Linked DNA regions of Mus musculus: region 2 is reported to be linked to region 1. The links are microRNA targets in miRTarBase. Many come from high-throughput screens and were not tested one by one. Region 1 holds a microRNA gene; the other region holds the end of a gene's coding sequence.
Evidence for each region. Region 1 holds the annotated microRNA mmu-miR-190a-5p (UGAUAUGUUUGAUAUAUUAGGU, at 1,935-1,956, shown strand). A microRNA usually pairs through its seed, bases 2 to 8, with sites in the 3' UTR of a target mRNA and lowers its output. Matches are read on the target gene's strand: a 7mer-m8 pairs with bases 2 to 8, a 7mer-A1 pairs with bases 2 to 7 and ends in A, and an 8mer does both.

Region 2: the mRNA of Trim36 is a reported target of mmu-miR-190a-5p. Seed matches in the 3' UTR shown: 8mer at 747-754.

The regions. Positions count from the first base shown.
Region 1 is chr9:67,233,075-67,238,655 of GRCm38, reverse strand. Mir190a (microRNA 190a) reads left to right here and starts at 1,930; the gene lies at 1,930-1,996. The region is part of intron 53 of Tln2 (talin 2); the gene reads left to right.
Region 2 is chr18:46,162,799-46,168,088 of GRCm38, reverse strand. It overlaps Trim36 (tripartite motif-containing 36), which reads left to right. Exons shown (of 10, transcript NM_001170855.1): 10 at 322-2,789. The coding sequence ends at 676. Among named protein-coding and RNA genes, the nearest start is that of Gm52355, 23 kb to the right of the region's middle.

The sequences.
Region 1 (5,581 bases):
GCTGCTCGTGTATCACCCATATTCCACTATTTTCCAGCATCCCCTGGCCTCCACCCTGTCCTTCTCTAGGGTCCTCCTCAGCTCTTGTCTGTTTTTCTCTGACTGGTTGCTCATTTGCGTCAACATTCTTGATTTGGAAAACAGACTTACTGGGATCTCCTTCATCCTGCAGGATTGTTCTTATAGCATAAGTCGATAACGTAAGAACATGGTGCCTGACTAGTAAATGGTAATGCTATCACCTCTGTCACCATCACTATGACCAGACATATGCTTTCTGACACCTTCATTTTTCATCTTTGTGTGGAAGATAAGGTCTTTCATGGATCCCTAGTTGGGTAAGAGGGCGGGCGACAGGGCTACCGTAAATACAAGACACGGTCCAGACCAGTCTCCTAAGTATTTTATCTGGTCCTCACCACTGTCAGACCGTGTGATTGAGTGGGGAGGGAACATAGAGCTGGGGTCCCAGTTTCTGAACACTGTACTCCCTCTGATACCCCATTGGCAGAGAAAATGATTCCCGTCCCTCAGGACCACTGCACTTTATAGTGTCTTAGGCTGTTAGACTTGTCTCCAGTTCCTTTCCTAAGGAAAAAAACCCAGACTTGTGTGAGAGGGATGTTCTAGAAGCTTGGTTGGTAGCAGTAAGAAGTTGGGGTCTTCTTGAAGGGAAATGATGAGGCTGTTACAGTAATGAAGAGTAATGGTTGCCAGACTGTACAGCGTGAAGATGCTTATGGAATGAGTAAAATGGGGAGAAATGATAACACCTAGGCATCCATGGTTAGTGCTTATGTCACAAAGCTGGGAACTAACGGAGATGATCAGCAAAGAACAGCTAAGACTTGAAATGGGACCAGGGAACGGCAGGCTCTGTGTTTTACAGTTCTGGAAAACAATGTTTGAAAACCACACACATTGAAAATGAGGGGGGCTGGAGAGAGGGCTCAGCGGTTAAGAGCACTGACTGCTCTCCCAGAGGTCCCGAGTTCAATTCCCAACAACCACATGGTGGCTCACAACCATCTGTGATGGGATCCGATGCCCTCTTCTGGTGTGTCTGAAGAGAGTGCCAGTGTACTCACTTAAAATAAATAAGTAAATCTTAAGAAAAGAAAATGAGGGATGGTTGCCGGAGGCGGCCTGTGTGGACCCCTTATGTGTACACTGCTAGGCATTATCCATGAAAGTGTCTCAAAGCAGCTTATCATCCCAAAGCATGTAGCCCCGGGCTTGCAAGGAGGGCCGTCCACCGTGGGAAACTTCTTGCACAATGCATAACATCCTCCTGACAGTTACAAAAGAACTTTTCCTCGGCTTAAAAGAAAAAAAATTACCGAAACAGCAAAACCAGCTAATATTTGAGGTTACTTTTCTCCATCCTGTCCTGTAACCTTAAAGACAAAAATCCTCAGGGTGCCATAAATGGCAGCTGCTCCTGCATACTTGCCATAGTGACTGTGGCCACCCACCCCCATACCACGTGAATGAGGTTATCCTCCACCCAGGCAGAGCACCTGTGCTGCTTGGAGGACTAGTTTGGGGAGGGAGGGAGGGAGGGTGATGACTTCCAGCTGTTTTGATTACCTGGTTCTCAGGTTACCTGTTTTAAAAGGAGACTAGTCTGTGGCATGTGAAGATGGTTCTGGTGTAGTTCCACCCTTGGGCCCTGACCATGGAAGCACCTCCCTTTACCTGTAATCTCTCAGACGTGAGTGACAGACAGGTGCACAGACTCCCTTTTCATTTGGGGAAAGGAGCCCAGGCTCAGAGTGTGTGCCACCAGCATTGTTGCTAATGGCATCCTTGCCACACCTACAGACACGCCTGTGTTCCAAGGCAGGCTGGGAGATACTGCAGAGGTGACTGACTCCCACAGCCATATTCTCAAGCTCAGTCAAACCTGGATGCCTTTTCTGCAGGCCTCTGTGTGATATGTTTGATATATTAGGTTGTTATTTAATCCAACTATATATCAAGCATATTCCTACAGTGTCTTGCCCTGTCTCCGGGGGTCCTAACAAAGTTTAGAAGCAACAGGAAAAAATATATTAAAAAATCACAAGTAGGTTTAGATGACAGAGTGCGTATGTTGTTATGTTTCATTCCATTTCTTCGTGTAGCCTTTAAGACCTGTGTCTTAGTTACCTTTCTGTTGCTGTGACAGGATGCCCCAACCAAAAGCAACTTAAGGCAAAAGGGTGTATTATGGCTTAGTTTATCAGGGGCCAGACCATCAAAGAGGGAAGGCCGGCAGTCAGGAAGTAGAGAGATAGGACAGCAGATGGAGCCAGGCCATAAAACCTCAAAGGCCAGTATGTCCTTCAGCAAGGCTTTGTGAATTCCTAAAGCTTCCATAGCCAAATGGCACTGCCAGCTGAAGACCAAATGTTCAGACACACTAACTTATTATGGATGGGGGATGCTTTGTTTCAGACCACAACAAACTGTATCAATACTACTACATTATCTGTTTGTTGTGGAAAGGGAGTATAGCTCCTGAAGGCTTAAGATATTTTCTAAAGTTTAGTTGAATGCAATTAGGAGTCCTTAAGAAAAGTATTCAGTGGAAAAAGATGGAAGATAACAACCCGTGTCTTTGATATAGGACAAAGGTTAGGATTGTAACTGGCAAACACATTGATCTAGATATTTCTTCCTGACAACTCTCAACACACTCTCACAGATTAAATTTTGTAATTGTTTTCCATGCCAAAAAAAAAATCGGGACATTTATTATCTCTAACTTTCCGCTTCTGGTAACAAATCTAAACCCTGGTGACTGTGCTCACTTTACGGATGGTGAGCCCGTAAACCTTAATTGCAGACCTTAATTTGGATCAGATATGTCTGATGAAGAGAACATGCTCGGGACTGTGCTCTGTCGGTTGAGTTTTCTGTTGTAGGTGAACTTCTGCACAGAGGTTGTTAATATTTAGAAGAACCCGGCAGTCCGAAAGTAAACAAATACTCTAATTGGCTGCCGCAGGAAGTTGGGCTATGACCCAGAAAGCATTCTTTCGGGTATATATCAGCCTCTCTGGCTGCTTTGACTTCTTCCCATAAATGAGTCCGTGAACTGTATGTGAGTTTACTCTGAGCTGTCTAGCACAGAGACTATATAAGTACTTTTCCTGGAAATAGCATGGCTATGCTCCCAGGCCTTGTTGGTTTTACCTTAGGAGGAAACAACTCTTGATGGCACTCCTAACTGTGGATGAGCAAGACCTCTTACCCTACAGGGGCAGGAGAGTAGTTTGACGGGGGTCGTCAGAAAAGGAACTTGGGAATATGTAGAAGCCACCATTGGTGAACGAGTAGTTTTTTTAAGCATCGCTCTAAAAGGTCTTTCGGATGAAGACACTTGCCAGAAGTGGTGAGATTTGGGATGGGGGGTAACTCTGCTGCTGTCTGGCATTCCCATGTGGCTGATTCATATTCTGAGTGGGAGTGGGAACGGGCACACAGGTGTTCTGTGACATGGGAAAGCAAACATGTTTTCTGCATGGCTAAGCTACAGGCTTGGAGCTCACATGCCAGACCTTGGTCCCAGACAAGCAGAGAGTGTATTGCCAGGTGGTTCTCTACCAGGACCTTGTTAGGTCCTTAGATGCATAGAAGGCTCATACCAGAGATTCCTAAGATGAACCAAACTGTATCTCATTGAATAATGGAAAGGCTTCTATTGTCCATACTTCCTATATCAAGGTCCAAGTGACCCCTTCTTCCCCTTTTTGAGAGTATGACAGAATTCTAAAGAATTTATTTTCATCAGAGACTAATTATAAGATCAACTCAGTGGTATTACTTTTTATATTGAATATAAGTTACAAAAAATGTAATAAAGCAATTGTATTATATGGGGAAAAACTATTCCCAAGATACTAACTGTGCAGGCTTGGGGCTTTTCCAATGGATGCTACATGAACCTATTCCTTTATTATCTATCTGGATGTGAAGGTGGTGCGTATCCAGCTACTAACATGACTTGCTCAGCAGTGGTTTCTCTGTGTCACCCTGAGCTTCCCCTGAGACCAGGCCTCTGTGAAGGGTACCAGCTGTTCTGGGAGATTTGCCTTTTGTTAGCTTTATTAAGGATGAAGGAGGTCTTAGAGCCAGCCAACCCACTGGTCCTTCAGAGCACAAGTTGATGTAGCCATGGTATGCTTTGGCCAAGACTTTCTCCCCAAAGCATCTCTCAAGTCAAAACCAGAAGCTAGGCAGGAGCAGCCAGGTTCTGCACAAGAAAGGAAAACATGGCCACCTGTTCCACTCAAGCATCCAACTGTCAGGAAAAGACCTCCTGCACGTTGTGGGAGTCCTAGGTATTGGCCCCCGTTTTTCCCTTGAGGACATTTAACTTACATATAACACATTTACACTTTTAAAAAACTCCACTGGACTTCTGACTTCTGAATGCGACCTTCTTGTAGTAGTGGCCATTCAGTAAGAGACTAACACAGAAGGTGGCAAGATGTGAAATGATGGAAGGGCGAGAAACAGCTTGAATAGCTCTTTGGTACATGTAGCTGCTTGCGTGGAGAAGAGTCATGGTACTTTTTAGCTCTCAAAAAGTCTGGTCTGGGCTGGTGAGGTAGCTCAGTGGATAAAAGTGGCTTGCTTTGCAAGCCTAGCAAGTTGAATTCAATCCCCAGATCCCACAGTGGAAGGAGAGAAAGCTGGCCTGCAACCTCCATATGTGTACCATGACACGTGTATCCACACACATGTACACATACACAGTAATAATAATAAGTAATCGCTTGTAAAAGTCTGGTCTGTATGGACTGGAGATAGAGCTGCTCACTTGATAGAGTATTTGCCTAACATACATGAGGTCCTGGGTTCAGTCTCCAGCCCCCATACACCTGGCATGCTAGTACATGCCTCTAATTCAAGAGACAAGAGGATCAGAAGTACAAGGCCATCTTCTACATGCATAATTAGAGGCCAGCCTGAGACACTGTCACAAGAAAAATTGGGGGTACAGGGAGGAGGGAGAAAAGTATTTTATGGACATTTTCTAAGCCTGAGGCAGAAGTTAGGGCTACTCCTGGGTAAAGGGTCTCAGGGACATAATTCACAAAGTGAATGAGAAGGAGGACTACGGAGCCAGATGCCCTCCCGCCCATACTTGCCCAGGGGACATCAAAGAAGGTGGGTAGGTCACTAAAGACATCAGGAAGGAGGTAGGACTCCTGAGGGTAGAAAAGAGAATGCACTAACTGCTTAATTTCAGTAAACATCTTAGAAAGTTTTAATGTGAAATGGAGACATGTCTAAGCTAGAGGCCAAAGAGAATTGATGAACTGCTCCTCGGGGAAGGGTGGTGCAGGCCTGGAAGTGGCGTGCAAGGCAGTATGGAACAGTGACAGTGTCTGAGTTATCCACTGCCTGGGCCAGTGCTGAGGGAGAAGCCAAAAACAGTGCCTGTCCATATCACGTGTCCCTTGAAGCCTGCTTTGGTCTTTGCATGTAATATGGGATCCGTGTGTACGTGCTTTGTGTAAAGAACCTAAAACGCAATGTTTAAAATATGAGGAACCTGGAAGTGTAGCTCAGTGGTAGAGTTTGCCTC
Region 2 (5,290 bases), not on the chromosome of region 1:
CTTTTTATTTTATGACTTACCATACATATTTAATCTCAAATTAGGCTCCTCGATTCTTCTGATTTCTTTCCAATGGAAATAAGCTTTTAAGTTGCTATTTGTATTTAAATTTAGATAAAAATGGATGCTACTGTGGTGAATTTGACACTGAGCACAGAGGACAACTCTGCAGGACAACTTATAGTCTGTGCTTTAGGTGTGTTCATGGAACATTTGTGTGTGTGTTAACTTTAGAGCAGTGTGCATTATTTTTTGAGTATGTTGAAGACCCTGCGAGACTGTGGCTGGAGGTGAGTCACTGTGTTTATTGTTGTGTTGTAGATATGAGCAAGACAGTGGACATGACAGTGGAAGCGAGGACGCCTGTTTTGATTCTTCACAGCCCTTTACATTAGTTACTATAGGCATGAAGAAATTTTTTATACCCAAGTCACCTACTTCCTCTAATGAACCAGAAAACAGAGTTCTCCCCATGCCAACGAGTATAGGGATTTTCCTTGACTGTGATAAAGGCAAAGTGAGCTTCTATGATATGGACCACATGAAATGCCTGTATGAGCGCCAGGTGGACTGTTCGCATACAATGTATCCGGCCTTTGCCTTGATGGGCAGCGGAGGAATTCAGCTTGAGGAAGCCATCACAGCAAAGTATCTGGAATATGAAGAGGATGTGTAGCTTGGACACCCCACGTGACTGATGAGGATAAGAACCGTGAACAAAGCCATGCCTTGATGTTAATCTAATTACATATCATTTACGTCTCTGTCACCACACCTGTTTGTACTGTGTGATTCTTTGTTTTGTCTTGTCCTGCTGTGACACACAGGGTCTTGCTGTGTAGTCCAGGCGGGCCTCAAACTCTGTTCTGTTATAGCCTCTGGAGGGCTAGGATTATAGGTGGGCACCACCATCCCCAGCTAGTGTATGGTTCTTAAAACTCAGAAGGACTTCACAACCTTGTCTCTTCCACGTCATTGTCCTACCTATTACAAATGGTGGGAGTGGAGGCTTTCTGTCTTAACTGGTCTAGAATAGATAACTTTACAATGGAAGTCCTTCTCTTTGGCCACAGGGACTCTAATTGATGTAAGTCTAATTGGTTATTCATGTCCCTTTGTTTGGGGGCTGGGGTGGGATACAAAGTATTTATTGTGGTTCTTTGAGCTTGTTTTTTTTTTTTTCCTTTTCATTTTGTATCATGTTCATGTCCAAAGAGAAGATATTTTTGAATGCTTACTGATAGAAACTAGTACTAAGCCATGTGTCTTGCATTTGATGTTAATAGAAAAATAAATTTATAGATAGGTAAAATGACAAAGGCCATAAAATGGTAGTATATTTAAGTAGAAAGTTGTGTATTTTAAAGTGTGTAACTACTGAGAATATTCATCGCCTGGCAAATGAATACTGCTTTTTTCCCTGTAGACCACAGACTGTATTAGTAAGGACATCTCTAACAGTGTCCTTGTTGTAATGCCCATTGTCTGGCACATGTAACAAGCATCGTTTCATATAAAAACACAGGGTTCTTGAACCCGTGCAACTTTTCACTACAATATAATTATTTCCAGGAAATGTTATCTTCAAATTTTCTTACTTTAGAAAATATTCATATTTATAGCAAAGAATTATTTTTCAGAATTACTAGGGAAGATGGACTGATAGTGAACACGTGTCTCTTTGTGTCTTGTGAATTTTATGGGTTTGGTACTTATGTTGTACATCAGGGTTTTATGGTTTTTGTTTACAAATCTGAGAAGTTCACTGCCCATTTTCAGCAGCATTGAAATACCAGACATGTTACATGTTACTACTGTCCAGTTGGATGGCATTATTTGTGGGCTCATTGTGTGGTCATAAGCACTTGTAGTGTGAATCAGTAAAGTACAAAATTCCTAGGAAATAATATGGAAAATCACAAGGATGTGTCTAGTCAGTTTTTATATCTTTTCTACATTGAATGTTAATTTCTGCAAAATTACCTTCTGATTATTTGAATTGCCTTTTTAAAAGTTAAAATGTCCAGACACTAAGACATGTTTTCAGCACTGATCATGTATGGAATGTTAACATTTTAGTAGAATAACCAAAGCTGTTTATTTTATTTATTTTTTCGAGGCAGGGTTTCTCTGTGTAGTCCTGGCTGTCCTGGAACTCACTCTGTAGACCAGGCTGGCCTTGAACTCAGAAATCTGCCTGCCTCTGCCTCCCAAGTGCTGGGATTAAAGGTGTGTGCCACCACTGCCCGGCTCTATTTGATTATTTTTAATGGAAGCCTGTTAGGCCAATCACACTGCGTCTGACGCAGCACTGACTGACACACACACACACCCCTAAGCTCGTGTAGAAAGGTGTGGAGGATTTGTGTTTAGTGATTGTCCTTCCTCTCCCATTTATATGTAGCACTTTATGACATAGGAAACAGAGAGAATGTGCAGTGTTACCTGGGTCATTGTGCAATAAAGCTGCTAGTGTCACCCGTGTGTGGGTTAGTGTGATACTCAATACTCATGTGAGCACATGTCCTGTAGACGTTTTAAAATATAAAGCTTTAACAGGAGTCAGAGAAGGAAGCTGTTCAAACACTGTATCACTCTATAGAAATTGCTTAGTGGAATTTCAATTTTTAATAAAAAATAAATAAATAAAGGGAAGCCAAGTGTAGTTATTCAAGTCTGCACTACAGGGATTTTTTACTCTGCTTTGTGGAAAACCGAAACAGAACACTTACTATAAGATGCTTTGTGGCACATGTTAATTTTTTTAATTAAAAAAGATTTATTCTTAATTACATGTATGCGAATGTGCATGTACACATGGATGTGAGCGCCCATGGAGGCCAGAAGTAGCGGATGCCCTGGCGCCAGAGTTAGAGGTGATTGTGATCTACCCAGCACTCGTGGAAAGGAACTGGAGACTCCTGGACCAGCAGTACTCACTCTTATTTTTATTTATTTTTTTAAAGATTTATTGATTTATTACATGTAAGTACACTGTAGCTGTCTTCAGACACTCCAGAAGAGGGAGTCAGATCTTATTACAGGTGGTTGTGAGCCACCATGTGGTTGCTGGGATTTGAACTCAGGACCTTCAGAAGAGCAGTCAGTGCTCTTAACTGCTGAGCCATCTCTCCAGTCCACAGTACTCTTAACCTCATATGTTAGTTTATTATTTTGAACATTTATTTAATTCTAGTATGATGCAGCTGATCTATTTCAATTGTCTGCTTATATTGTCATTTCTGGTCCACAGTTGATTACATTTTACCAGGTTTGCCTGTGTGCTTACGTGCAGGTGTGTGTGTGTGTGTGTGTGTGTGTGTGTGTGTGTGTGTGTGTGTATCAGAGAACAAGCTATGGAGAGTCAGTTCTTTTCTTTCACAGTATCTAACCTGGATTTTTAAACTCAGATCTCCAGACTGGCAGCAAGCACCTTAGCTCTTAGCTGACTCTAGATGGTTTCTTAACTGTTAACTTTTTTTATTTTTAAAGGCCAAGTACATTAAGGCTGGATTCCACTCATCTTTGTCTTATTTTCCATAAATTCCTTCCTCCTACCTTGGAGTGTAGAGACGCACTTGCCACCACTTAAGACGTACTAAACTCTCCATACGATTTTAATAAACCACACCTTGCACAACCCTGGATTTGCCTGTCTGCCTTTTGACTCAATCTTTAGCTGGTTTTCAGACAACAGGACTGAGGGTTTGTTTTTTTTTTTTCATAATGACTTGCTCATCCACTCCCCATTGGAGGGTTGTATTAATAATCTGAGGTTACTTCAGTTTGTTAATTAAAAAGCCTGACCTGTTTTCCGGGAAAGCAGGATAGTAGGGTTCTGGTCGATTTTTTTGTTATTACATAACACTGAAAAGCAGCTCCTGTGGAGTAAATGTAAGAACTTAGGTAGTAAACCTGACCATGACCAGATTGGCTGATAGCTCATGACGCTTGCTTCCCAGTGAACACAGATAACTTGAAGAGCTTGTTGAAAGCTGATTTTGATCTCTCAATCTCCTGTCCTTTGAAATGGGCAACTGATACACTTCTCTTAAATCGCTACCAGAGTTAAAATAGGGTGCACAGAAAGCTGTTAGCATAAAGCCTGGAATGGGTACTCAGCAGATAAGCATTTGAAGTGATTAATCCCACCCAGCAAATCTTTTAGTCAATTGTCGATATATTTTGCAAATAACCAACTCTAGTGTCTTAGTTAGGGTTTCTATTCCTGCACAAACATCATGACCAAGAAACAAGATGGGGAGGAAAGGGTTTATTTGGCTTACTCTTCCACATTGCTGTTCATCGCCAAAGGAAGTCAGGACTGGAACTCAAGCAGGTCAGGAAACAGGACTGATGCAGAGGCCATGGAGGGATGTTCCTTACCGGCTTGCTTCCCCTGGCTTGCTCAGCTTGTTTTCTTATAGAACCCAAGACTACCATCCTAGGGATGGCACCACCCACAAGGGGTCTCCCCACTTGATCACTAATTGAGAAAATGCCCCATAGCTGGATCTTATGGAGGCACTTCCCCAACTGAAGCTCCTTTCTCTGTGATAACTCCAGCCTGTGTCAAGTTGATACACAAAACCAGCCAGTACATCTAGTTCATGGAGAAGAGGCAAAGCCAAGCAAACACCTGTAGTGGAAGATCTGAGCTGAGCCCTTGTTTTAAACAGCAAGGTGCCCTTGTAATCCCTGCACTATACTTGCAAAGTCCCATCTCGCCCCTGTATTAGATACAATGGTGGAATCAAATCTTTGCTCAAAGTCCAAGGCAACTCAGAACTACTTTGAGAGCTAATTTGGACCTTCCTTGTAAATACTGTGAGGTCAGCTTCAAGGAAGCCCTCCTTTCAATTGCATTTCCTAAGTTTTCACTGAAGCCTAAAACCTTTTCACTGAAGCCTAATACATGCTGTCAGCCTCCCCTCTGTACCTCCACAGAGGAGTCATTCTCCTCCCCAGAACACAGCTGCTCAGTGTATTCCATCTTGGTGAGCAGTTCTCAAGTGGATGGAATTGTTAGATCCATTCCATTCCAGCAAGGAATTCCATTGTCTTCAATAGGCAGAATTAATCCCAGTAGCGCTCTGTCATTATTGGAGATGCATGTACATTTGTGGCAGTGTTCCTAGATCTGACTTTATTGTTGGCTTATTCAATTATACTCTTCCTTTACCCTAAATTATAAAAGACTTAAAGCGTCCCCCCACCCCTCATGAGCACCATGGTGCTGGGCGTTGAAGCCATGAGCTTACACAAGCCAGACAAGCACACTAACTACCAC